Cricetulus griseus: one gene and its partners. The protein of the gene in region 1 purifies or fractionates together with the protein of each later gene. This does not show direct contact. Links are inferred from orthologs where the notes say so. Each region holds a gene or a part of one and is shown on either strand. Other genes may lie near its edges.

What was found. The genes of interacting proteins can lie anywhere in the genome.
Region 2: the proteins of Wdr48 (region 1) and Phlpp2 purify together in Homo sapiens (affinity purification with mass spectrometry; 5 studies listed by BioGRID and IntAct, with this or other methods). This does not show direct contact. The link is inferred for Cricetulus griseus from reciprocal best matches to the Homo sapiens genes WDR48 and PHLPP2.
Region 3: the proteins of Wdr48 (region 1) and neurabin-2 purify together in Homo sapiens (affinity purification with mass spectrometry; 3 studies listed by BioGRID and IntAct, with this or other methods). This does not show direct contact. The link is inferred for Cricetulus griseus from reciprocal best matches to the Homo sapiens genes WDR48 and PPP1R9B.
Region 4: the proteins of Wdr48 (region 1) and Atad5 purify together in Homo sapiens (affinity purification with western blotting; 3 studies listed by BioGRID). This does not show direct contact. The link is inferred for Cricetulus griseus from reciprocal best matches to the Homo sapiens genes WDR48 and ATAD5.
Region 5: the proteins of Wdr48 (region 1) and Rad51ap1 purify together in Homo sapiens (affinity purification with mass spectrometry; 5 studies listed by BioGRID and IntAct, counting the BioPlex papers as one, with this or other methods). This does not show direct contact. The link is inferred for Cricetulus griseus from reciprocal best matches to the Homo sapiens genes WDR48 and RAD51AP1.

The regions. Positions count from the first base shown.
Region 1 is NC_048597.1:227,013,615-227,017,949, reverse strand, and holds the end of Wdr48 (WD repeat-containing protein 48), read right to left. Parts: intron 4,172-4,335; coding exon 4,095-4,171; intron 2,589-4,094; coding exon 2,399-2,588; intron 1,901-2,398; coding exon 1,805-1,900; 3' UTR 994-1,804; downstream 1-993. UniProt on the Homo sapiens protein: Regulator of deubiquitinating complexes, which acts as a strong activator of USP1, USP12 and USP46. Enhances the USP1-mediated deubiquitination of FANCD2; USP1 being almost inactive by itself.
Region 2 is NC_048596.1:186,232,062-186,236,958, reverse strand, and holds the start of Phlpp2 (PH domain leucine-rich repeat-containing protein phosphatase 2), read right to left. Parts: upstream 2,971-4,897; 5' UTR 2,899-2,970; coding exon 2,800-2,898; intron 40-2,799; exon of another isoform or gene 20-39; intron 1-19. UniProt on the Homo sapiens protein: Protein phosphatase involved in regulation of Akt and PKC signaling.
Region 3 is NC_048600.1:108,169,427-108,174,320, forward strand, and holds the start of neurabin-2, read left to right. Parts: upstream 1-1,924; 5' UTR 1,925-2,042; coding exon 2,043-3,413; intron 3,414-4,894. UniProt on the Homo sapiens protein: Seems to act as a scaffold protein in multiple signaling pathways. Modulates excitatory synaptic transmission and dendritic spine morphology. Binds to actin filaments (F-actin) and shows cross-linking activity. Binds along the sides of the F-actin.
Region 4 is NC_048600.1:93,536,067-93,540,991, forward strand, and holds the start of Atad5 (ATPase family AAA domain-containing protein 5), read left to right. Parts: upstream 1-1,955; 5' UTR 1,956-2,326; coding exon 2,327-2,392; intron 2,393-4,925. UniProt on the Homo sapiens protein: Has an important role in DNA replication and in maintaining genome integrity during replication stress.
Region 5 is NC_048601.1:19,519,303-19,524,164, forward strand, and holds the start of Rad51ap1 (RAD51-associated protein 1), read left to right. Parts: upstream 1-1,892; 5' UTR 1,893-2,010; coding exon 2,011-2,027; intron 2,028-2,686; exon of another isoform or gene 2,687-2,804; intron 2,805-3,963; coding exon 3,964-4,019; intron 4,020-4,862. UniProt on the Homo sapiens protein: Structure-specific DNA-binding protein involved in DNA repair by promoting RAD51-mediated homologous recombination.

The DNA of each region.
Region 1 (4,335 bases):
CCCTAGATGTTTCTTTCCCTGTTAATCTGATGTGAAGGAAAATGACAAGTAAAAAAAATAAATGTGTAAGACATTGAAGTATTTTAACTAAAGCTTTATTCTATACAACTTGAAATACAGACTCTGACCTTTTTGGCATTGCAGACTGTCCAATTTTCTGGAAACTTCTTACTGATTTTGACTAGAGGGGGAAAAAAAGGAACAACCATGCTGGGGGTAAAATCCACCACAGGGGCCCAACTGCCTATGGCTCAGCACTGGGCCGTGAACTGGTAAAACCCATTTAGTGCATTGGCCCCTCCTGCAAACAGAGGGCGGGGCGCCCCCACCCCCTTGCTTTTAGCTCATAACTATCACTGAAAAAGATGCACCAAAAGTGCACTGTTGTATCACAGAGAGATAAAAAGGACTTCTGTAAGAGGAAAAAACGCCAGTTGCTCTGAGGAAAGAACATTTTAACACCTGGGAAATGTCTTTGCTCACTTGAGGGTGTGGAAGCCGTGGCATGTCTGAGCTCCACAGTTAGCAGTGAGGGACCCTGTTCTGCAGTTGTTCGGATCGGTGCCTCATTTTGTGAGGGACCGACCTGGACCCACCAGCGGCCCCCAGTGGAACCTGTGAAGATGTGGAAAAGAGAACAAGCCCTCTCCAGTCCCTGCTCCCGTGGGGACAGAGCACACAGGGGAGGGAGGCGACGGGCCTGGAATAAACTGCCCCTGAAGGCACTTGTGCTTCTTCTGGCTTTGTTCAAGGTTTGTCTTCTGGAGGGTCAGGGGGACCACTGAGCTATCTGAATGAGAAGGACCTTGAGAAGAATCCAAAGTATTTTCTGTCAAAGGTGAAGTGTTTATCCCCAATAAGTTAATAATTCCAAGTCCAAGTGAGTCTATGAAAGCTTATGATTGTTAGAAAGACAGGAAAAGATCTGGACGCAGGTACAGGAAAAGCCCACGCATAAAACTGGAAAACCAAACATGGACCACAATATAAATATCAAACCAACTGACTGTGAGATCTTTTTACTCTAATAACACAAACTTTAGGTAGCATTTGAATGAAACTGAGACTTCAGCATGGTCTTAAGTGGACAGTATCGTGCTGCTCACCCAGGTTGCGAGGCTGTGGTTCCCACTGACACTGCCTCTGAGGAAGACTGGTTGCTGGAGGAAGGACAGTGGCCACCGCTGTTGGGGCTGCTATGGGACAGTACTGCACAACACAGGTGCAGTGGCAGGAGGTCCTCCTACAGACCACAGCTGAGATCCCGTATTTCAAAAGTAGCCCAACATGGTCATTTCTTACAAAGTGGGCTGGTTCTTGAATTGTGCAACAGTGATGATTCCCATTAAAACAAAACTCTTACATGATGATGAAAACATTTTTTTTTTTTTTTTTTTTGTAATGACAAATTTGGAAAAAGCCTTCATAGGTACTGCATGAGTGGAATGTACTTAGAGAAGCCGCAGAACTCATGGGTTTGAAACGCGGTGACAGATGTGGCCCCGCTGATGTTCTCTAACAAGTGCTAAGAGACAGAGGGCCTTCAAAAGGGGTCAGTGAAGTCCGCACGGCTGTTGTAGGTCTCTGCACACCTCGAAGGACTGCTTGGGGCTCCTGTCCTCACACTGAGTCCCTGGGGACACCTTAATCTATGCATGGAGCCTGGTTCTATATTACATCTCGATTAGTGACTCCACCAAATCGGCCGGTGGAGCTCCTGCTCCCGGTAGGGCTTGGTGGGCTTCCTAGGACTACTCAGGGCCCCAGAGGAAGGTTGATGAATAACCCAGGACTTGGCCCCCCTTCACGTGCACTTCTGGCGGTAATGGAGTGTGAGGTCCCCGCCGCTCTTCCAGATGAAGTGCTTTACTGTTCGTAGGTCCATATTTGGGTCCAAAACCTGAACAGCCAAAGTGCATTGAAAACGTCAAGGTCACTAACAGCTAAAGCCACCCTTAACCAGGGACCTGCCAGGTGGCCCAGCTTACACATGGGATCTGAAAAATCCACCAGCAGAAGCAGCTCAGCCCCACCTGAGCACACACACTGCCTCTTAGCTGTGATCCATCTCTTCACCACCCACCTCCACTCCAAATTCTTTAACATGATAGATACTACCCTGCAAATCAAGACGACCTTGCCCCTGTTAACCAGGTGCAGCCCTACTGTGGACATCTGTAAATCTGTGTCCTCTTCCCAAGCACCTCCCTCAGATGAAGAAAAGCTTCGGGTACGCTGAAGAATCTTGGCAAAAGACTGGGCTCTTGAGAGCCTCTGAAAGCTGATGCCCAAGGAGGCCAACTGCTTGAGGATCTAAGCACACGTCACGGTTACACGTTGTGTGACTTTCTGGGTACCTCTGCAGGGAGATGAAGCTACACTCCTCAGGTCCACTCACCTGGTCCTGGCACAGAAGTTCAATTTTCTCCTCTGCCAACACAGCAATATCCTCCTCCTTCTCCTGCTCTGGCTTCTCATTATTAGAAGAGCTGGTGGTCTGAGACTCATTATCCAGGTTGATAATCTTCTCGTAGACATGCTCCGTCACCTTCCGGACCTGCAGCATGTCACTGGCAGAGAGTCTGTCTCTAGAAAAGACAATGCATGTTTTGATACCACAAAGTCTATTATTTTCATTGTGTCAACATCTAAAGAAAAACGTTGTACAGACATCTGTTTTTTTTTTTTTTTTTCTTTCTTTCTGAGACAGGGTTTCTCTATGTAGCTATGAAGCCTATCCTGGCAGTCACTCTGGAGACCAGAGTGGCCTCGAACTCACAGAGAGCCTCTTGTACAGACATCTGAAACCAATGCATGTTTTCAGTCCCTGGATCCATTTGGGAGTTGTCAGAGAGTTCCAATGGTGCCCGTCTAGGGCTTATGTACTACACACAATAGCTACCTGCATTTTAGTCCTTCATGTGTGCGCCTGAACCGAGGACAGACCTGGGCAGATCCACCAATTAACCACCAGGGCTCAGTGTTACTTCCCACTGCTGTGTCTTCAACTAGAAGCAGACAATGAACGCCCCAGGCTAGACATTAAGCCCCAGGCGGCTCCACACCACAAATCCAGCAGCTGGCTTGTCCTGGATCACACAGCTGAAGTCCCTTTCGTCCAGGCCCTCATCTCTGCTATCATTCAACCACCACCAAACCTCATAGCTACAGTGTAAACTCTTCAAGGATCCTGGGGTTCTGTCATGAATCTGCTACAAGTGTGTCTACGCTCGCTATGAACTGATCCAGTGTGTGCGTGTGCAGGAGTGTCGAGGCGAGCAGACCCTCGTGGTGGTCAACCCTGAAGTGTCTCATTGGCCAGTGGGCCAGCTCAGGAACCCTGGGGACAGTTTAGCTGCCCTGCTGGTGTCACACACATACTGATTATGGCTCACATTCCCTTGCTGGCCTCAGCTTCTCTGCCGTAAGCCTCTCTTGGAGCCTTGTCTACCTTACCTATCAGGAATTTCTGCTAGTATGTCATGGTGACCTGGCATTCAAATTCAGTCACCAAGCCTCTAACTCGTCATGTCTCCCCACTCCAGCCTATGTGAGGGAACACGCATCCCCACAACCACTTCTGGTATCCTCAGCCTGTTCCCGCCGGGGAAGTGTGTCTTTGGGCAGTACAGCCATCCGCCCGTGTTCAGGTGATTCCTCCTTCCTGAAACCTCAGAAAGCTGTGCTCACAAGCTGGTTACCCCTTTCTCTTTACTCCCTAAAGGGTCTGTAGAGGCAGCTACTATACACAGGTTTTGTCCTAAACAGAGTCTCACATGCCCTGGAACTGATCCTCCTCTGTCCACCGCTAAGAATAGGGATTACAGGTGTGAGCCACCACAAACGGCTTACTTGGTCTTGCTATGGCGTCTCAGCTGGCCTGGAACTCACTGTATTTCCCAGGCTGGCCTCTTTCCTGTTTCTGCCTCCGAGTGCTGAGACTACAAAGGCATGAGTCAGCAATTATGGGCTAAGCTAAATTCTGACAGGGGACAAGCTCCACAATAACCAGCTTCCCACCCAGCAGCCGTCTCCCTTTCACCACGTGACCATAGGTGCAGTGACTGCAATCAAGAAGAGCAATGGTTACTTACTTTTTTAAAGTTTTTGCTCCTGAAGATGCATGAGGTTGGAGGTAGAAAGGAATTTTGTTGAATTTGGGCATATTTTTCTGAAATATTAAAAGTTTAAGAGGTATAATAGTTTCTACTAGCTGATAAAACTAAAATGCTGTCAATAGGAAAACATGATTTACAAATAACTACTTTTACAATCAAAGGACTTTTAATGTAATTTACATTAAGTTATCAACTGAAGTGTGCCTTAGGAGAAAAA
Region 2 (4,897 bases), on another chromosome or scaffold:
CATGTATACAAAGACTTACAATTTAAGAGTCAGGCTGGGCGTTGGTGGCACACGCCTTTAATCCCAGCACTCGGGAGGCAGAGGCAGGCGGATCTCTGTGAGTTCGAGACCAGCCTGGTCTACAAGAGCTAGTTCCAGGACAGCCTCCAAAGCCAGAGAAACCCTGTCTTGGGGAAAAAAAAAATCATAATAATCACAAATTAGATTGGCTGTAACTTCCTATCATCCCCTGCTTAACAAAACCATAATCTCAAAATCACAGGAAATATCTGAAAACCTTTTTTTAAATTTATTTAACTTTATTTTATGTGCATTGATGTGAAGGTGTCAGATCCCCTGGACTTTGAGTTATAGACAGTTGTGAGCTGCCATGTGGGTGCTGGGAATTGAATCCAAGCCCTCTGGAAGAGCAGCCAGTGCTCATAACCTCTGAGCCATCTCTCCAAAACCCCCTGAAGACCTTTTGAGCCTGGTTCAGTAATTTGATAAATTTTAGAACTTTGAGATACACTCTTACTATGTTGTTCAGGCTGCCCTAGGCTTAAATGATCTCTCATGTTAGCCTTCTGAACATACTCCCTGGTTTAGGAGTATATTTTGAATAAAATGTTCCAATGCCCAGTACAGGCAGATGGTCCTTCATGTAGTCTGGATAAGTTATGTTAGCATAGTTATGTCATGCTTTTTATGAAGACTTGAGAATAATGTTCATGATTTGGTATTGAGTGTAAATATAAAAGGAATAAAAAGTGTTCTTCCTTTTTTTTTTTTTTTAAATCAGTATTTTGAAGCTGGGGCCAAGGAGTAAATCCAGAGCCTTGTACATTCAAAGCACACCCTCTACCATGGAGCCTCACTCCTAACCCACAGCTACACCCTTAGGGTCCAGAAGTCTTTAGAAACATCTTCAGAGAAAAACATGTGGGCAACCATGACATTCTTCAAGGTTCAGAAAGTTTTCTGCTTACCTACGTATTCTTTATGGGCTGCACTTGAGAAAGTGAGCCACCCAGCAACTTAAGAGAACTTCTGTATGTGGAACACACAAGACCTATTTTCCATGGTCTTATTAACAAGGATTAGAGTGTTACCACTTGCAAGAAAGCAAGGGCTAGAAAGGGCTCCAGATAGGCTCTCCTCTCAAGAGCTCAGTGCTGATCAAGAATCAAGACTGACCAATCACTAGACTCTTTTTAATGATCCCCAAATGGGAACTTTGGAAACCAAGGAAACATAGTCTTCAATAAAGATTTTCATTTCTCTTTCACACAATTTGCCACTTCAACACTTCCCCAAAAGGTTACATGGTTAAAAAAAAAAAAAAAAAAAGATGCTCATCTTTTACATACCAAAACATGCCTCCCAAAACTATTTCCTGCTGTTAGGCCTGCAGAACTTTTGTTTATATTGAATTTACTCACAATTTATAGTTTGCTATTTGCTATCATTTAAAATATTCAGAAGACTTTGAGTAATTACACTCCTTTAGACTTTGAGTAATTACACTCCTTTATGCTTGAGTAAATTCCAGTGTGGGTAACAATTAAGTCTATATGCATTAAGACTGGGAGGTGAAGAAAATATGATTTACATTTTACTGAGTATTGGTTTCATTAATTCATTAAGTGCGTCAAATCTACTTTTCTGGAGTTCCTATGTTTGTGCTACTTTACAAATAATCTTAATAAGAGGAAGTATTACTCAACAACAATCTCAATTACTTAATGTTTGCTTTTAACAATATGTATTTTTGATGTTTGGCAAACTGTTTTTGAAACACATTAAATCTCAATTTTCTTCCCCCTCTTCTTTGGCAAGTTTTAAATCCTGACGATTCCTCTTCTAGAACACTAGAGGAATTTCATTTCACTTGATTTATATACTGAACCTACAGGAAAATTTGTCTGCACTATTTCACAGGTTAGTGGAGAACTCCACCCAGTTAGCCACCCTTTAACCATCTCTGCTGACCTCACCTCACCTCACCTCACCTCACCTTCTGCATTCTTCCTGCATAGAAACTTCTTGTCATCACTCACCTTCAAGGTTCCACTCCCCCTTTGCCTGGATCTGTTTTCCTACCCTCCTACTCCCCTGATTCTACCAAAAAGCCCCGCTTAGCTGCCTGTTGCATAACGGCTCCCCCACTGCCTTCTCCCCGGATTGTCAGCCAGGCAGGAGTGCCCCTTCGGGCTCTGCTCCTCCTCCCCCCACCCCCGCAACACGCCCAGCGAGTCCCCAGGCTCAGATCCTCCAGGACTGTCTCTGAGCGGGGAGCGCAGGGTATCGCGCCTTGGAGCCTGGAGCTGGTTCGGAACTCGGGTAGCCAGTCCCGAGGGCAGTGTGGCTGCTCCAGCCCGCACAGCCCGCGCACACCGCGGCGCCTGGCCAATCGCCGCCGCCATCCCCTGGCTGGGGTGATGTCTTCAGGTGTCCGCCTAGCCCTGCGTACTCACGCTTGGCTCCTGCCAGGAGCCGCCCGCCCTCCGAGCCCCCCGGAACCGGCACCAGGGCCCCCGGGCTAGGCCCAACGAGGCGACGGCGGCCCCGGGGATGCGAGGGCGGGGGTGGGGGGTAGCGGCGGCCCGAGTCGTGGGCCTGCCGGGCGGCGGCCAGGGATGGCCAGCAGCGGGGACCCAGGCGGCCGAGGCCTGGGCGGGGGCGCGGCACAGAGACCACAGTAGGCCCACGGCGCCCCGGCCCGATGCAGGCGGCCAAGGGACGCAGGGCGGGGGGCGCCCGCTGCCTCGGGCAGCTTGGCGAAGGTGGACCCGGTCCTCCCGCTCTCTGCCGCCTCACCTTCAGGACCCGGATCCCTCCAGGCCGGCGAGCCGTCGCCGCTTCAGGTGGCTCCGGGGGCTCCAGGGGGCCCCCGGGCCCGGGCTCCACCTCCCCCATTGGCGGCCAAGGATTCAGAGACACCCGGCCGGCGCTACAGCGCGCGAGCCTCGGAGGCGCGCGCGAGCGGCGGGAGGCCTCACCCCTCCGCCTAGGCCCCGCCCCTAACCCGACGTCCCGCCCCTATCGGCCCCGCCCCTAGCCCCCGCTGGACCTACGTAGCTGCCGGCCTGCAGAGGCCAGAGCAGAATTGTGGGAGCCTGGCGCCACTGCAGGGTTAGCCTCCGCCACGCTCCACCCATGGCTTAGAGGACTAGGCTGCAGAGAGAGCAATTTGTTGCTTTCTAGGTGCTTCAAGAAGAGGCAGAGGAAGAGGCAGGTGAGGCCTGTACCTGTTAAGATAGCCAAGATGCTGCCCTCCACCGATTCTCTAGCTGAAACGTTTCCTGCTTTTAAATGTGTCTGTCACTTTGCTCGCACTGACAGTGAAAGAACTGTTGCATATACTCACTTACCTCTCTTAGGAGATAGCTTGCGACCTTCTTCAGCAAACAACCTCAAGTATGCAGACATCATTTGGCTCTCCAGCCACATTTCAATGTCCACTGAAGTCAAAGTAGCAGAATTCTTTTCTCAAACATATTAATGCTGTGTAAGCCATATTATTTTGCAAGGCTTAACTCAGCAAAGAATGGTTTTGTTTTGTTTTGTTTTTCGAGACAGGGTTTCTCTGTGTAACTTTGTAGACCACACTGGCCTTGAACTCACAGAGATCCGCCTGCCTCTGCCTCCTGAGTGCTGGGTAAATTAAAGGCGTGCACCACCACCGCCTGGCTCAGTAAAGAATATTTTTAGGCTGGGTGTTGGTGGCACACGCCTTTAATTTACCCAGCACTCGGGAGGCAGAGGCAGGCGGATCTCTGTGAGTTCAAGGCCAACCTGGTCTCCAGAGCGAGTGCCAGGATAGGCTCCAAAGCTACACAGAGAAACCCTGTCTCGAAAAAACAAAAACAAAAACAAAATTTAAAGGTTGGCTTTTCTTTTTAGTTCTTGAAGCGATAGTAGTTTTGTGGTTAATGGACCAAATTATGAGTCTGCCTAATTTCAAATCTTAGTTGTACCCATTTTAGATCTAAATTACTTAATCTAATTCTTTCGGGTTATTTTTTAAGGCAGAGCCACTTGTAGCCCAAGCTGACCCCCAACTCACTATATAACCAAAGCTGGCCCTGAACTTCTGATTCTCCTTCCCTGCATTACAAGTGCTTTAAGCACAGATATGAACCACCATGCCCAGCTTTCTTTATGTTATGGGTGTTAGACCTATACAACCCTTGGTAGTAGAGACTAGAAGACAGTGTCAAAACCTCTGGACCCAGATTACAGATTGTTGTAAATTGGCATTTAGGTGCTGGGAGTTGAAGTTGGTCCTCTGGAAGAGGAGCCAGTGCTCTTAACCTCTGACTCTGGTTCTTAACCAGCCCCTCCCTCTAGTTCTGAACTAAATTTAGTCTACCTGGCAGTTATCAAGATGTAAGGGGGGGAGGACACACAAAGAGCCTAACTCAGTGATTCATAGTAGCCATTATAATTCTGAAATTCTAGTTTCCCAAGTCGCTAGCATTAACTGCTCCTAAATTTTGTAAGACTTGTAAACCTCTTTGTTTTTAGGGCTTCCTCTCTTACACATGGGCTGAATTTCAGTCAACTTGTAAGAAACTAAAAAGCAAAACAAGTTCTCCAATAACAGGCAATCCACTACTTCAGCTTTGTTGGTCCAACTATTTGTCTGGAGTACTTTAATTATGGACTTTCACCTGTCTTAAGATGTTTTTTAATTTGGAGTTAATTTACATGTCAAGTTGAAATTTTGCTTCAAAGGTTCTGTCTCATACTGTTTCATCTATAAAAGGTATTTTCTGAATTCATATGAGTTACTTTGCATCTAGTACAGTTCCAATCTTCATTTCTTGGTTTTCTTTTAATATAGTAAACATAGTTTCTCTATGCCACGTCTAATATAGGGTGAAAGGTAAGCTATTTCCAAGGGTTTTCCTTC
Region 3 (4,894 bases), on another chromosome or scaffold:
GGCTCCTCCCCATCCCAATCTTCAGGGTTCCCAAGCGGTTTCCCCACGTCCCATCCCCCACGCACTGAGCTCTTTTGCACGTGCTATGGGTTAGTGTCCCACAAAACCCACACACCGAGAATGGAAAGGTAGGAGGGCTCTCTCCACCAGCTCGGCCAGGCCAACGGGAGAGAGTGGGAGAATGGGAAAAGGAGGAAGAGGATGGAGGGGAAGAGGGCGGGGGGAGGAGGCCGAGGCCGCAGGAAGGCCTGAGATGCAGGAAGCAGCTGGAGGGGAGGGGGGGGCGGAGAGGCTTTGTGCCTGAGTTGTTCTCTGGGTCCTAGTGTCCACTCTGTTCCTCAGTTCCTGGGATCTACAGACCCAAGCAACACACACAATTCGACCTGAATATTGGATGGATCCTCACTGCCAGGTTCCAGGCAACTGGGGAGGGATAATGGGCAACACCAGGTCCCTTGTGTATGTGAGGAATGAAGGAACTCTAAAGAAGCTGAGTTTTCAAGAAGGGATTTGTTAGGACACACACTTGGTTGTTGTTGCTTTTTCGAGACACGGTTTCTCTGTCCTGGCACTCTAGATCTGCCTGCCTCTGCCTCGCAAATGCTGAGATTAACGTACCCCCCCCCCTCAATAGGGAAACTTTGGTCCCAGGCCTCTAGAATCATTCCTTCCTACACCCCCCAATCCCGTCCCAACTCTTCCTGTTTTGAGAGATGGTTTTCTGGCAGGTTATGAAGGCCAGGATTCGCCACTCCTCTCGAAGCCTGAAAAAAGAGTGGGCAGGTGAAGAGCACCATCTTAAGACTTTCAACGGCAAAGGGAGCTTTGGAAATCTCCTGTCACTTGGGTGATGTAAACCCCCCTTTTCTTCATTTCTCCTCAGCACCGCGAGTAATCCTGGGCCAAAGTTTTACATCCTGGAAGATGCAAAAAGTGCCCTATAGGGAGTTGTTAAAATGCAGACTCCCAGGTCCTGCCTCTGAGATCCCCTGCCCTAAGTTTGGAAGGAGCTAGAAATATGTGCTTTGACCTAGCACCCAGCAGTTTTGACGCTGATAACCCTGAACACTCTAAGGACCTTTGAGTGAGTGATTCAGGGCTCCTCCTCACAGAACCCCTTCATATTGGGGGAGGATCAGGCCAGGCAGGATCCAGACGGCTGTGTCTGGATGGTTCCCCGCCCCCCAGGGTTAAATGAGGGGACGCCTATGTGGGTTGTGAAAAGCCGCCGAGTTTGGGATGGGAGGGTTGAAGAAGAATAGCCAAGGTCCGAGGAGCTGCGGAAGGCTGTCCGCCAACTATGAGTAGGAGAGATGAGGCGACAGGGGGGAGGGGAAGGGGAGGGCTCACAGGCTCCGGCCCCGGAAATCCGATCCCTTTAGGACCCAGTGGTGCCAGTCCCCCAGCGGCGGCGGCGAGAAGGGCAGCCGCTCGGTCTCCGGCAGCCGCGGTTCGGGCTGAGCTAGAGAAAGACCGAGGCTCGGGGCGCGGGGGAGGGAGGGGGGAGGGAGGCGCGGCGGAGCGGCCCGGGTCAGCGGAGCAGCCACGGGCGCGGGGATGCCGGGCTCCCCGAGAGTCAAGGCTCCCGGCCGGAGTAGGGGCGCCCGCGCCGCCAGCCCCGCTGACACCGCCTCGGAGGATGTGAGCCGGCGCCGCGGCGGCCGCTGCTTCGCGGACTGGGCGCGCGGTCCCAGCGGCTCCAGCCAGCCTCCGCTTCTCCAATTTGGGTGGGGGCGACCGCACCAGGCCGGCCGCTCGAGCTTTCGAAGGGGGCTGGCTGTCTTTGGCAGCTTGGTTGGGGAGGCGACCCACACAGGGCGCTCCGAGATTTTTTTTTTTTTTTTTTTTTTTTTTTTTTTTTTTTTTTTTTTTTTAGAGCAGGGTTAACTGTTTTTTGGCAGCTTGGTTTCTGGGGGGGCTCTATAGAAGGCCTTTCGGGATTTCTTTATTTTGGGGAGGGGGGCGGTGGTCCCGACTTGGCCAGCCGCCTGCTGGAGGGGGGCAGCGGGGAGCGGGGGGATGCGAACCCGGCTCCCCCCACCATGATGAAGACGGAGCCTCGGGGGCCCGGGGGTCCCCTCCGGAGCGCCTCCCCGCACCGCAGCGCCTACGAAGCGGGCATCCAGGCACTGAAGCCTCCCGATGCGCCCGGGCCCGATGAGACACCCAAGGCGGCCCACCATAAGAAATATGGCTCCAACGTCCACCGCATCAAAAGTATGTTCCTGCAGATGGGCACCACCGCGGGGCCGCCTGGGGAGGCGGGAGGCGGCGCAGGCATGGCCGAGGCCCCGCGGGCGTCCGAGCGCGGCGTGCGCCTGTCCCTGCCGCGGGCCAGCAGCCTGAACGAGAACGTGGACCACAGCGCCCTGCTCAAATTGGGCACCAGCGTGTCTGAGCGCGTGAGCCGCTTCGACTCCAAGCCCGCGCCCTCGGCGCAGTCGGCTCCGCCGCCGCACCCGCCGTCCCGGCTGCAGGAGACGCGGAAGCTGTTCGAACGGAGCGTCCCCGCGGCCTCGGGTGGCGGCGACAAGGAGGCCGCGGCTCGGCGGCTGCTGAGGCAGGAGCGCGCCGGCCTGCAGGACCGGAAGCTGGACGTCGTGGTGCGCTTCAACGGCAGCACCGAGGCGCTGGACAAGCTGGATGCTGACGCCGTGTCGCCGACGGTCAGCCAGCTCAGTGCCGTCTTCGAGAAAGCCGACTCGAGGACCGGCCTTCACCGTGCGCCCGGCCCCCCCCGGGCCGCGGGGGCGCCCCAGGTCAACTCGAAGCTGGTCAGTAAGCGGTCCCGGGTGTTTCAGCCACCGCCGCCCCCTCCTGCCCCGTCGGGGGATGCCGCGACCGAGAAGGAGCGAGGCACGGGAGGGCAGCAGCCCCCACAGCACCGAGTGGCCCCTGCCCGACCGCCGCCTAAGCCGCGGGAGGTGCGCAAGATCAAGCCGGTGGAGGTTGAGGAAAGTGGGGAGTCTGAGGCCGAGTCGGCCCCCGGGGAAGTGATCCAGGCCGAGGTGACCGTCCATGCTGCCTTGGAGAATGGCAGCACCTCGGCCACCACAGCCAGCCCCGCTCCCGAGGAGCCCAAGGCCGAGGCCGTCCCCGAGGAGGAGGCAGCGTCGGTGGCGACGCCGGAAAGGGGGGTGGACAATGGCGGGGCCCCGGACGTGGCCCCTGAGGAGGTGGATGAGTCCAAGAAGGAGGACTTCTCAGAAGCGGACTTGGTGGATGTGAGCGCCTACAGTGGACTCGGGGAGGACTCTGGGGGCAGTGCCCTGGAAGAGGACGATGAAGAAGATGAGGAGGACGGTGAGCCCCCCTACGAGCCGGAGTCAGGGTGTGTGGAGATTCCCGGCCTCTCAGAGGAAGAGGATCCGGCCCCGAGTCGGAAGATCCATTTCAGCACCGCACCGATCCAAGTGAGTGATCCCCCTCGGGGCCCCCACGCTGCCCCTGCCACGTGCGAGTGGTCGCCCCCGCCACTCGCACAGACATCCGTGTTTGGCAGGTTGAGTCAGCCCCTGCCACCCAGCTGGGTTCCCAGAAGTTCCCACAATGAGGGGGGCGTGGGGGACTTCCAGCTGTTTGTCAGAGTGGGAAGGTTTTCAGGTCTGTGTTTGTGAAGGTGGCCTGCTGCGACCTGCCCTCAGGTTCCTAGCCTGCTGCCCCGCCCAGCATCCTGCCCTGTCCCACGCCTACTCTGGGACACCTGCTCTCTCTTCCTCCCCCAGACATTCTTTCTTCCTGAGGCTGCCAGAGGCTGCCAGAGGCTGGGACTTGGCTGGCCTGAAGGGGTGTGGGATGCGTCCTCAGGATACTGTTCCTGTCCTCAGGATACTGTTCTTGCGTATGCCCTACTGTCAGGGGAGAAGGATGGGGAGCTTAGGGACACTTCCTGCTTCCTGATGTGTAAGGCTGGCTCTGCCTGGGTTGAGAGAGGGGAGCTAGGAACTTCCCAAAACAAAGATATGGGGGACTGCAGTCCTGCCCTGTCAGTACCCCCACCCCAACTTTGCAGAAGTGAAAGAAGGAAGCAGACTGTGAGGGTGAGCTGGTCCATTGCCTTGTGACTGGGCTGGGGGAAAGACCCTATACCTCATGGTCTGTGCTGGGCCAGCTTCCCATGTCCAGGGTTGCACCGGAAAGGGGCATCTTATATGGCCCTTGAAGGAGTAGGCCTTCTGCAGGCTCCACAGAAGGGGGGTGGTGGGCCTGAGAGTTGCCCTAAGGTGTTGGCAGACATACATGCCTATAGCCTTAGGAATCTACCCCTTCTCATATTCCCAGGCTACTTTAAAAGAGGAGGGGGACTCACTTGGATGGGAGGGTCCAGCCCCCTATCTCTAACACCACTATTGGTGATTGGTTTGCGAGCAGAGCCACTCAGTGCTTTGAGATCTTCTGAGTAGTGGTGGTAGAGAAAAGATGTCCCCTGGGGAGAATTAAGAACAGGAGACCACTCCCATTTCCCACTACCCTGTGAGCTCAGCTGGCACTTCTGCTGTGATGGCCTTTTCTTCCCAACCTATGCTTGATTGTGCCTAGCACCTGACCTGCTAAGGTGGGCTGGGTGGCTGTATACAGCACTGAGGACTTTCCTTGGCCTGGACCCTGCCCCTCCTTGCCCTCCCCAGCCAAACCCCATGTGTTTGCTTGCAGTTTCCATAGCTACTCCTGGACACCAAAGCTGCCCAAGTTTCTCTCACCCTCTACTGTCTCCCCTCCTAGGCCAGCAGAAGTCTAAAAGGTTAAGGGTGGACAGCTCCCTCCCCAAATTCCCTGCCTGGGAATTTGGAAGACTTCTCCATGCCCTGTTCCCTCTGAAGGCAGGGAGATCCAGGAAGGAGCAGAGACTGTGGTGCTCTTGGGAGGGTGTCAGGCCATTGCCTCATCCCCATGG
Region 4 (4,925 bases), on another chromosome or scaffold:
CCATCATGTGGTTCCTGGGAATTGAACTCAAGACCTCTGGAAGAGCAGGGAGTGCTCTTAACCTCTGAGCCATCCCTCCCTAAGGCTGTCTTCTTATGTTTGTTAGTTTGCTTGTTTTCCAAGACAAGGTTTCTCTGTGTAACAGTTATGGCTGTCCTGGAACTTTCACTGTAGACCAGGTTGGCCTTGAACTCAAAGAGATCTGCCTGACTCTGCCTCACAAGTGCAGGGATTAAAGGTGTGCGCCACTACTGTGCAGCCCAGTGTACACTCTCAACCCCTGAGCTACCTTTCCAGTACCATTTTGATTTTGCTTTTTTAAAAAAGATTATTTATTTTTTATGAACAAATGTTTTGCCTGCATCTATGTCTCTTTGCTATTTGCTTGGTGCCACAGAGATCAGAAAAAGGGTGATGGATCTTCTAGAACTGGAGTTATAGACTGCTGTGAGCTGCCATGTAGGTGCTAGTAATTGAACTTGGGTCATCTGTAAAAGGAGCCGGTGCCCTTAACTGCTGGGTCACCTCTTTAACCCCCTGCTCCATGCTTGGCTTTTTATTGATTTAGAGTTGCATTTTGGCAATGCTCAGGATTGATACCACCACCTTGTGAACGGGAGGTGTTTCTCCAATACTCTACCTTCCTAGCCCTCATTTCTTTTTATTGCTGAGAAGGATTCCATTGTATGGTTATGACATGGTTATGCCACAGTGTGTTTACTAACCTATCTGATGAAAGCATGAAAGGAGAAGTTCCATTGTGGGCGATGCTATAGAGCAGTTAAATCTTTAACCAAGGTAGCAGGGTTTTATACATACTCTTTGTAATGGTTAAATCATGGGCTGGGTATGTAGCTCAGTAACAAAGCACATGCTTTTTGTATCTGAGGGCTAGAGAGAGAACTCAGTTCTTCTTGCTCTTGCAGAGGATCTGGGTTTGGTTTCCAGCACCCACATGGTGTCTCAGGGGATCCAATGTCCTCTTCTGGTCTCCACAGGTACCAGGCATACACATAGTACATATACATACATGTAGGCAAAACACTCATACACATAAAATTAAAATAAATTTTTTTTGAGACAGGGTTTCTCTGTGTAGCCCTGGTTGTCCTAGAACTAAATATGTAGACCAAGATGGCCTCGAACTCAGAGATCTGCCTGTCTCTGCCTCCCGAGTGCTGGGATTAAAAGTGTATATTCACCACCACCACCTGGCTTTTCTATCTCTTTTAAACTTCTATTATTTATTTATTTGACAGAATCTCTTGGTTGAACTAAAACTCTATGTAGACCACCACCCGGCTTTTCTACGTCGTCTTAACTCCTTTCTATTTATTTATTCACTCACTCATTTATTTCTCTCTTTTTTGCTCTATCTATCTATCTATCTATCTATCTATCTATCTATCTATCTATCTATCTATCTATCTATCTATCTATCTATCTATGTATTATCAGACAGATTCTCTTGGCTGAACTGGAACTCTATGTAGACCAGGCTGTGCTGGAATTAAAGCCATTAAAGTCGCACTTCCTGGCTTTAAAATATAATTTTAAGAATGGCTACAGTCGCTGGGCAGTGGAGGCACCTTTAATCCCAACACTCAGGAGGCAGAGACAGGCGTATCTCTGTGAGTTCGAGGCCAGGATGGTCTACAAACGGAGTTCTGGAACATTCAGGACTCAAAAAAACAAACAAACGAACGAACGAACAAAAAAAAAATGCCTTATGTCTAAGTCTTAGTTCGGCCACCAAGTGACTAGGTAGCCTTAGAGAAATCACGTCCTGAATGGTCAAACTCGCCTGTAACACCGAGTCACGAACGTCTGAAGTCCCACTAGGATTCCAAATAGACCTGGTTCCGTCGCTTGCTGATTCGCCAAACGAAATAGTTTGGTCTTAGTGGCTCACCGTAGGCCCAGTCTCCAGAAGCGGTCATAGGCTCCGCCCCCTGCGCTCCGGACGGCGCGAAAACCCAATTGACAAGAAGTCCCAGGAAGCCCAAGGCCTGATCGGCGTTCCGTGTGCAGCGCCCACTGCGGCCCGGGGCTCGAACGCTGAGCCTGGAGCGCCTGCCTCGGGGTCACCGTGCACTGTCCGGCCGCCTCCGCGGGGCCTGCGCCCGCGCTTTCTCGACGAAGCCTGGCTGGACGGCCCTGGGCCCAGCCTCGCACTCGCGTCCGCCGGCTGGGCTCTGGGGGACCCGTGACGGACCCCGCGGCCCCGCAGCTCGCTCCCATTGCACCGGCCGCCTCCATGGCCTCCAGCCAGGCTGGGCCGGACCGCCTGAGGTCCTAGGATCCGTGGCTCTGGGAGGCAGGGATCATGGTGGGGGTCCTGACCATGGCGGCGGCTGCAGCTCCCCGTCCAGTCAAGGACTACGAGATTGAGGTGAGCTCGAGGATCTGTCAAGTTCTTTCCTGCCTGTGTTGGCGAATTGTGGCGTGGGGGTGGTGGGAGTCCTGCTTGCTTCTGAGACGGGGAAGGAGTGATGTGATGATCCGCAGCTATAATTTTGTGTGGGATGGTTGCCTCGGTGTATCGTGGTTAAGTCCTCAGTGGAATTCTCAGAAATTTTCGGGCTCGCTGTAAGCTCAAGATTTGAAAACCACTGTTCCCGGGTCCTGAAACATTGGTGGAATGACATGTCACCGAGGATCTCAGGCTCCAATTCTTTGTTCGTGATGTGGAATCATAGAACAGCGAAAAAGCTTTAAGTGCGTCTAGTCCGTACACACAAACATCTGTCCTAGGAATTCCATATGGAATGTCACTTAAGAATTAAGTGAGGTATTTAAGTCGGTTTCTCGAGGCTGCAGAGCTTAATGTAATGTAGTTAAGAGTCTCTGTGACATGTTAGGTGTTCTGTATTTACCGCGTTTCAAGAGTACACTAAGCTGAAGACAGTGCTTAATCTGGGAAGCCCTGGTTTACAGAAAGAAATAAAAATACACTAAGCAACCATAATGATATTCTATGCGATTAAGTAGTGGCTAGGATCTTAAAGTACATGGCTGATATGTATATGTAGATAGAAAAATACCCAGGCTGGATTCGGACCTACTGATCCTCCTGTCACCACTTTCCAAATGTTGGGATTACAGGCTTGTGCCTCTTCATAGCTGCTATGTTTTTTTTAATATACCATGTCTCAGACTAGCATTTTAGTTAATGTGTTGTGGTGCCTTTGAAGTGAGCTAAGATGTGTGCTCACTTCAGTCCTAACTCTTTGTTTTGTTTTTGTTTTTCGAGACAGGGTTTCTCTCTGTAGTCTTGTCTGTCCTGGAATTCATTCTATAGATCAGGCTGGCCTAGAATTCAAAGAGATCCTCCTATCGCTGCCACCTGAGTGCTGGGGTGGAAGGCTTTCAATACATTTTCAAACTTGTTTTTATTTCTTGTTACGTTTATAAATTTACAGTTGTGTATTGGTAGTATGGAAATCAGAGGACAACTTGTAGGAGGAGTCAGTTCTCTTCGTCTACCCTGTGGTTCCCAAGGCCTAAACTCAGATTGCCAATTTGGCAGCAAGTGCTTTTATCTACTGGGCCATCTCACTGGCCCTGTTTTAGTTTTTAGACAGGATCCCATGTAGCCCAGGCTTGTGCAAGCACAGCCAGCTTACATTTCTTTGTAGCATATTTAGTAGTTTCTAATTATAATCCTAAGAACTTGGTTTCAAAAATATTTCTTTTTCACATATTTTTTAAATGATTTATTTATCTTCATTTTATTTACATTGGTTGCCCGTATGTATGCCTGTGTGAGGGTGTCAAATCCCCTGGTGCTGGAGTTACAGACAACTGTGAGCTGCCATGTGGGTGCTGGGAGTTGAACCCTGGTTCTCTGGAAGAACAGATAGTGCTCGTATCTGCTGAACCATTTCTCCAGCCCCATCACATGAATGTTTTTAATTTCTATGGCTATTTAGTCATTGTTGTGCCGTAATTATGGCACAAGCAATTATTGATGACTTTCTCCATTCCAGATCCTGTGTTTTCAGGATCAGTCAGCCATGCTTCTTCCCAGGGGAAGTTGCCAGTTTGTGTTGCTTGCTCCATAGTCACAGTTCTGTTGGGATGATATGACAGACTTTGGAGATCCCCCATGGAGGTCCTTACCCTCCCTGGGGAGCAGAGGGGGGATGGAATGGGGGCTTGGGGGTTGTTGTGGGGAGGGGGAGAAGGGGAGGGAGAGGGAGCTGGGATTGACATGTGAAGCAAGCTTGTTACTAATTTAAAAAATTTTAAAACAAAAAAAAAAAGAAAAAATAGATTTCCATACTAGTAGATATCAGGGCAGGTACTTTAACTTAATTCTGACTTGAATGTCTGTTGTGTGATGTCTCTGACACCATCTCAAAGCTTTATAGACCATAATAATAGATTCTTTTTTTAATTCACTTATTTCAACATACATAGTTTTGCTTGTATTTTACCTCATTTATCTAAATGGTCAGAATTTGTCCCACTATCATCTCTTAGTCTTTTATCTGTTAATTTGGATGTTAGTTTTACCACTTAAATTCTTTTTAAAAATTATTTTTGCTACATTTGCTTATTTATTGTAAGTGCAGGGGTCAGCATATGTGTGGAGGGCAACTTGTGGGAAGAGGTGCTCCCTTTTTACCATGATCCTGGCAAATCAAACTAGGTTACTGGGCTGGACAGCAAGTACCTTTGCTTTCTGGGCCGTGTCGGAGATCCCCTGTATGAATTCTTACATAACCTTGTCTGGTTTTGCTTTTCAGACACACTCCATTGAGCTTCTTGCCTACTTGTGCAGCATCAGTACTATGCTTTTAACCACAATAGCCCTGTTAATTCATTTGAATTTTCTAAAAATAAAAATTTCATCCTTATTACTTGTCTTTAAAAATAAAGTTTTTGTTATTTTGGCAGATGTACTTTTTCAAATGAGCTGA
Region 5 (4,862 bases), on another chromosome or scaffold:
ATAAACCCTATGCCTGTTCAGTGTGTGGCCACCAATAAATCTCTTGAATGAAGTTTGGGTGAGACCTTCCTTTGCCAGAATGTAGTGCAGGAAATAACAACTTTTCACCAGAACCAGAGCAGAGAGAAGAGGCACAGGGCTGTAACACTTTCCCAGGGAAACCTTCCCCTAGCAAAGCAGAGTTGTTACACTACAGTCTGGGGGACTTTCGCTGGGGAAGCCCTCCCCTGCTGGAGCAGAGCTGTTACACTGGGGAAGACTTTCCCTGGAGCAGAGCTGTAAGTTGCTATGCTTACTGTATCCTGTGGTATTCCTTGGCTCCCCATTGCCAGAATACCTTTCCATCTGAGCTGTAACATTCAGTATTCTGTGGCTCCCAAGTGCCAGAATACATTTCCATCTGAGCTATAATGCTTACAGGCTCCATAGGAGCAAATCCTGGTACTGTAATCCTGGTCAAAAACCCATAGCACATAAAATCACAGATCCTAGGAGGAACCCTAAATACCACTGCTGAATTAGAGTGACAGTCAACTCAACCACCTTCTAAATATTGGTACCCATAGACAATGCTACTCTCAGCCTTACTCAGAGAAGTATCTCTTTCCAACGAACAGTAGTGAATTCAGAGACTCATGGTGACACAAGGTGCTGAGAAGAAGTGACGCAAGAGTGCTCAGCCCCAACAAGACACTGATAGCACCCGTTTTGAAGGCTCAAGGAACATGGCAGCAGAGGGAGTGGAAAAATACAGGAGCCAGAGGATAAAGCAAAGTTCGACAAAATGCCACTTTCTGGGCAAGACCCCGCCATTGCAGTCATAAACTCACTGCAGCTTTGGACGCCTGCACTGGATCCGCATAAGAATAGGGCCCATCAGCAGCTAAGGGAGGACTCAGAAGGACCCAAGCTTTGCTGGAGATCAGGGGAAAGGGAGTCATTGTCTTGAGCTGTGTGTTCACTGGTGCCCCCACCAGGATCCAGAGAGTAGTTGCAACCCAATGCTCACACATCTGGTCTGGTTAAGTTAAAAGGGTCACAAAACCAAACCAAGAATCCCGAGAATCTGGAAAGCGCACTGGTAGGGATGCGAAGGTTCGGAGCAATGCTAAGCTGGCAGGGGTGGGAGGGGCATACGGAAGGGGAAGGAAAGAGTAACCAAGAATGCATTACAAGCATGCAACAGAACAAAATTAAAAAGAAACATTTTCATGCTATTAATTGGCTTATGAGGGTCCGTCGACCTCAGGATAAATTCATCTTAAGCCAGCTTACATCTCCGGGTTCGTCTCTGGGTGTGCTTACACCCTGCCAGACCGACGTGCAACCTGCACACCCAGTGCCCCCCGTAAAGTGAACTGTCAACGTCAAGCTGCACTTCCGCTCTTTAGGCAGTGCCCAGGAAACCTGCTCGGGTTCCCTGAGCCTGTAACAGGTGCTCTCACGGGGACCTCCACAGTGACGGGGTTTCCTCGCGGTTGGCATGGGCTCACCTCTTTCCTCAGAAGCCGAAGCAGACTTGGAGCTGTCAAAGCCGAGCTGCCCGGTAAATCAGCTGACTTCGTGCTTGTTTGTAGAGCCAGCAGATTCACTGTGGCAGATTCGCTACTCTCGGTTCCCCTTTCCTCACACCCCAAAGAAAACTCCGACCCAAGAGCCCCTTTATGCCGTTGCTCTTCCAGTTAGTCCTTATAAAGTTGGAGGGGTGTTACTACTTTTGGACTCTGTACTAGGGTCGGTACCAAATCGCCGTCGTGACGAAAGCGCAGCGGCAATCCAACCCCGGGGCCGGGGCCGACAGGATCCGGAACGCCGTGCACCGGGGGAAGGTGTGTGTGCGCAGGCGCGCTCTTCCCAGCACGCAGGCGCCGCCTCCGGCAGGCGAGCGCTGATTGGCGGGCTGGCGCGGCGGGGCGGGGAGCGCCGCGTCCGGTTTTGGGCGGGAATTGAAACCGCCGCAGCTGCTCTCCGGCTCCGGATCGCGGCGCCTGCGGCCTGAGGACGGGCACCATGGTGCGCCCTACCCGGTGAGTCGCTGGTGACGTCCCGCGGGGCAGGGGGATGCGCGGGGGCACGCCGGAGGCCGGTGTCGCTCGGGGCTGAAGGAGGGGACCGTCGCCAGCCCCCGCTGCGGAGTGGCGGACCCAGCATCCTGCTTCCCGCCCTCGGCCTCCCTTTGCAGCTGTTGCCTGTTTTATGGCCCCCAACCCTTCCCTAGGCAGAAGGGCCCGTTTGAGTCGTAGTGACCCGTCACGCACCTCCAGGTCCTCTCTGCTCTCCGTTGTACGGTTGCAATCTACTGTCCGTGATCACGGCTGCCATCCGCCCGTTTAGTATATAACCGAAGCTATGGCCCGGGGGTGGAGTGATTGCCTAGTACATGAAAGGCCCGAGGTTCTATCCCCAGTACTGCACAGCCGACCAAAAATAGACTTAGTGAATTCACTTTGTACTGTACTAAGAGCTGGAGGTTACCCTCGTGGAAGACGGGGCCTGGGGCCAAGTCAGCACCCAGTGGGAAAGAGGAAAGGCCTACTTCAGAATAGACAAAACCTAAGAGGCATTCTCGGTAGATAAGTAGAAGCCAAGGCCCTGGAGCTTGGCCATGCTTGAGAAAGGAGTTTGGATTTTATTCTAGACCAATGGGAGATGAGTAGTTTCAGCATAGGCAGGTGGGAGTTATTCTGACTTTACTTTTATAAAGGTCACTGGCTGTTGGTAGACCTGAGTGGGAGCAGGAGTGTGGAAGGCTAACTTATCACCAGATTGTGACTTGACACAGTGTTTGTGTGGAGATGGAGCAGGTGAGTTTAGGTACCTCTGACAAGCTGATATGGAGATGTGGAGACAAGGACAGAATCAAGGTTGTCAACTTGGGGACTGAGCTACGTGGTGGATGATTTTTGTACTTACCTTTTTTAGGAGGCTTTTGGTTTTATTTACTAATTGTCAGTCCCAGAGTTTTAAAAGATGCTGTCGTATTTCCTGCAGCTGTCAAATGTTTAAACTCTGAAGGGTGGGAGAGTGGCATGGACACCTCCTTTAAGGTGTGTGAGGCTGTGGGAAGGCACACACGGTGGTTCACCAAAGGACACACAACTGGACAAGTCTCTTTGACAGAACTCTGTTTTTGCTTGAAAGAGCAGGCAGCTGGAAACAACAAGCTTGTTTATATGGGGCATTTAATACACAACAGAAGGGAAAACTGGACAACTTTGCATTACTTTCCTAGAGGGGGGAATCATCCTTTTTTTCACATTGAGAACCTTTTCTTCTGCCTACAACGACGGGAGGAACAAACTATTTTAAAGTGTCCATTCCATTAGAAAGACATTATTTGGTATTATGGAAAGATTTCTTTTAAATATTGATTTTGTTTTTAGGTGTATGTGTGTGTGTCTCTGTGTCTGTGTGTGTCTGTGTGGGTATGTGTATATGAGTGCAAATGCCAGAGGAAGCCAGAGGATTTTTACCCCCTAGAGCTGGAGTTACAGGTGGTTGTGGGCTGCCTGGCATGGATGCTGGGAACCAGATTCAGGTCCTCCAAAGGAGCAGTACATATTCTTAACCACCATGACTCCACCTCTAAGGGATTTTTTTAAAAAAAATATGCTAAAACTGAAGAGATACTTTATAATGTAAACAAAGAACGAGTACAAAGTAATTTATAAATGCCCAATAGCCACTAAACAGAATATAAGTTTTAATTGATAATTATTTGTGTTCTCCTTATGTTGGGGGTTTCCTGAATTAATTTTTTTCCCACATCATGTCTATTAGGTATGGTTTTGGCTTTTCAGCTAATGCCAAGTTCTTGGTGTTAAATGCAAATAATATTTTGGATTAAAGTACTTCTAGGAGACTTCAAACACATTTTCCTTTCTTCAAGACTATTAATAACTTTAAGGTGAAAGTAAAAAGTTAGTATTTGTATTAATGAAGATTTTTCTGTCTTGATCATAGAAATAAAAAACCAGTCAATTACTCACAGTTTGAGGACTCTGGTGGTGACTCTGATGGTAAGTAGAGCATTTTACTTTTGCTTAACAGATTGAGAAATTTATTTCCTCAGAGTTAGATATGGAAAAATTAGACTCTGAAAGCTTAGGAGGCTTAAGCTTTGCCGTATTATGTTTGTCTTTGTTGTTAGAACTTTGATCAAAGTTTGAGAAACATTTCATTAAGTTACTATGTATTTGTAGTAGAATACTTTTTTCCTCCATGTGTGCTGGCGATTAGTCCCAGGGCTTCCCGTGTGCTTAGTAAATACTCTACCACTGAGCTATAACCTTATCCTAGAAGTAAGTTATTACACTTCCTTTCCACACCAGCATAGTTTCCTTTAAGTCGAGCACTTTAGTAATTTCTCTGTTCAGAGAAATCTCTTGCATTAAGTGGGTCTTCAACTTGAGAAAAATACTGTATAGCAGATAACTTTTAGCCTCTATCACTGTCAAAGCTATGTGACCAGGTACTTACAGGTTGCCAGTTGTGTTCATGATACTAGGTGGGGTGGAATGTGCAAAAAATTCTAAATTATATTTCTGTATGTGGAAGTGCGAAAGAAATATGTTAATTGTTTTTAAAAGTATGTGATCCTACATTCGTGTGTCATACATGGGTTTTTTTTTTTTTTTTTTTGAGTATCCCGAGAAGGACCACAGGAGTCTTGAAAGGGCTGTGAGAAGTAGCAGTGGGTTGGGAGAGTTGATCGGAGCAGAGGAAGGCTGTGGGTATCAGATAGACAGCCAATGTGGAGCCACTTGGGCTGGTCAGTGGTGCTTTCTGTTCCCTTAGGCTTGTTTTTTTACTACTGATGTACCTTTGTAAACATGCTGGGCTACATTGTGGAGTTTAGTTAA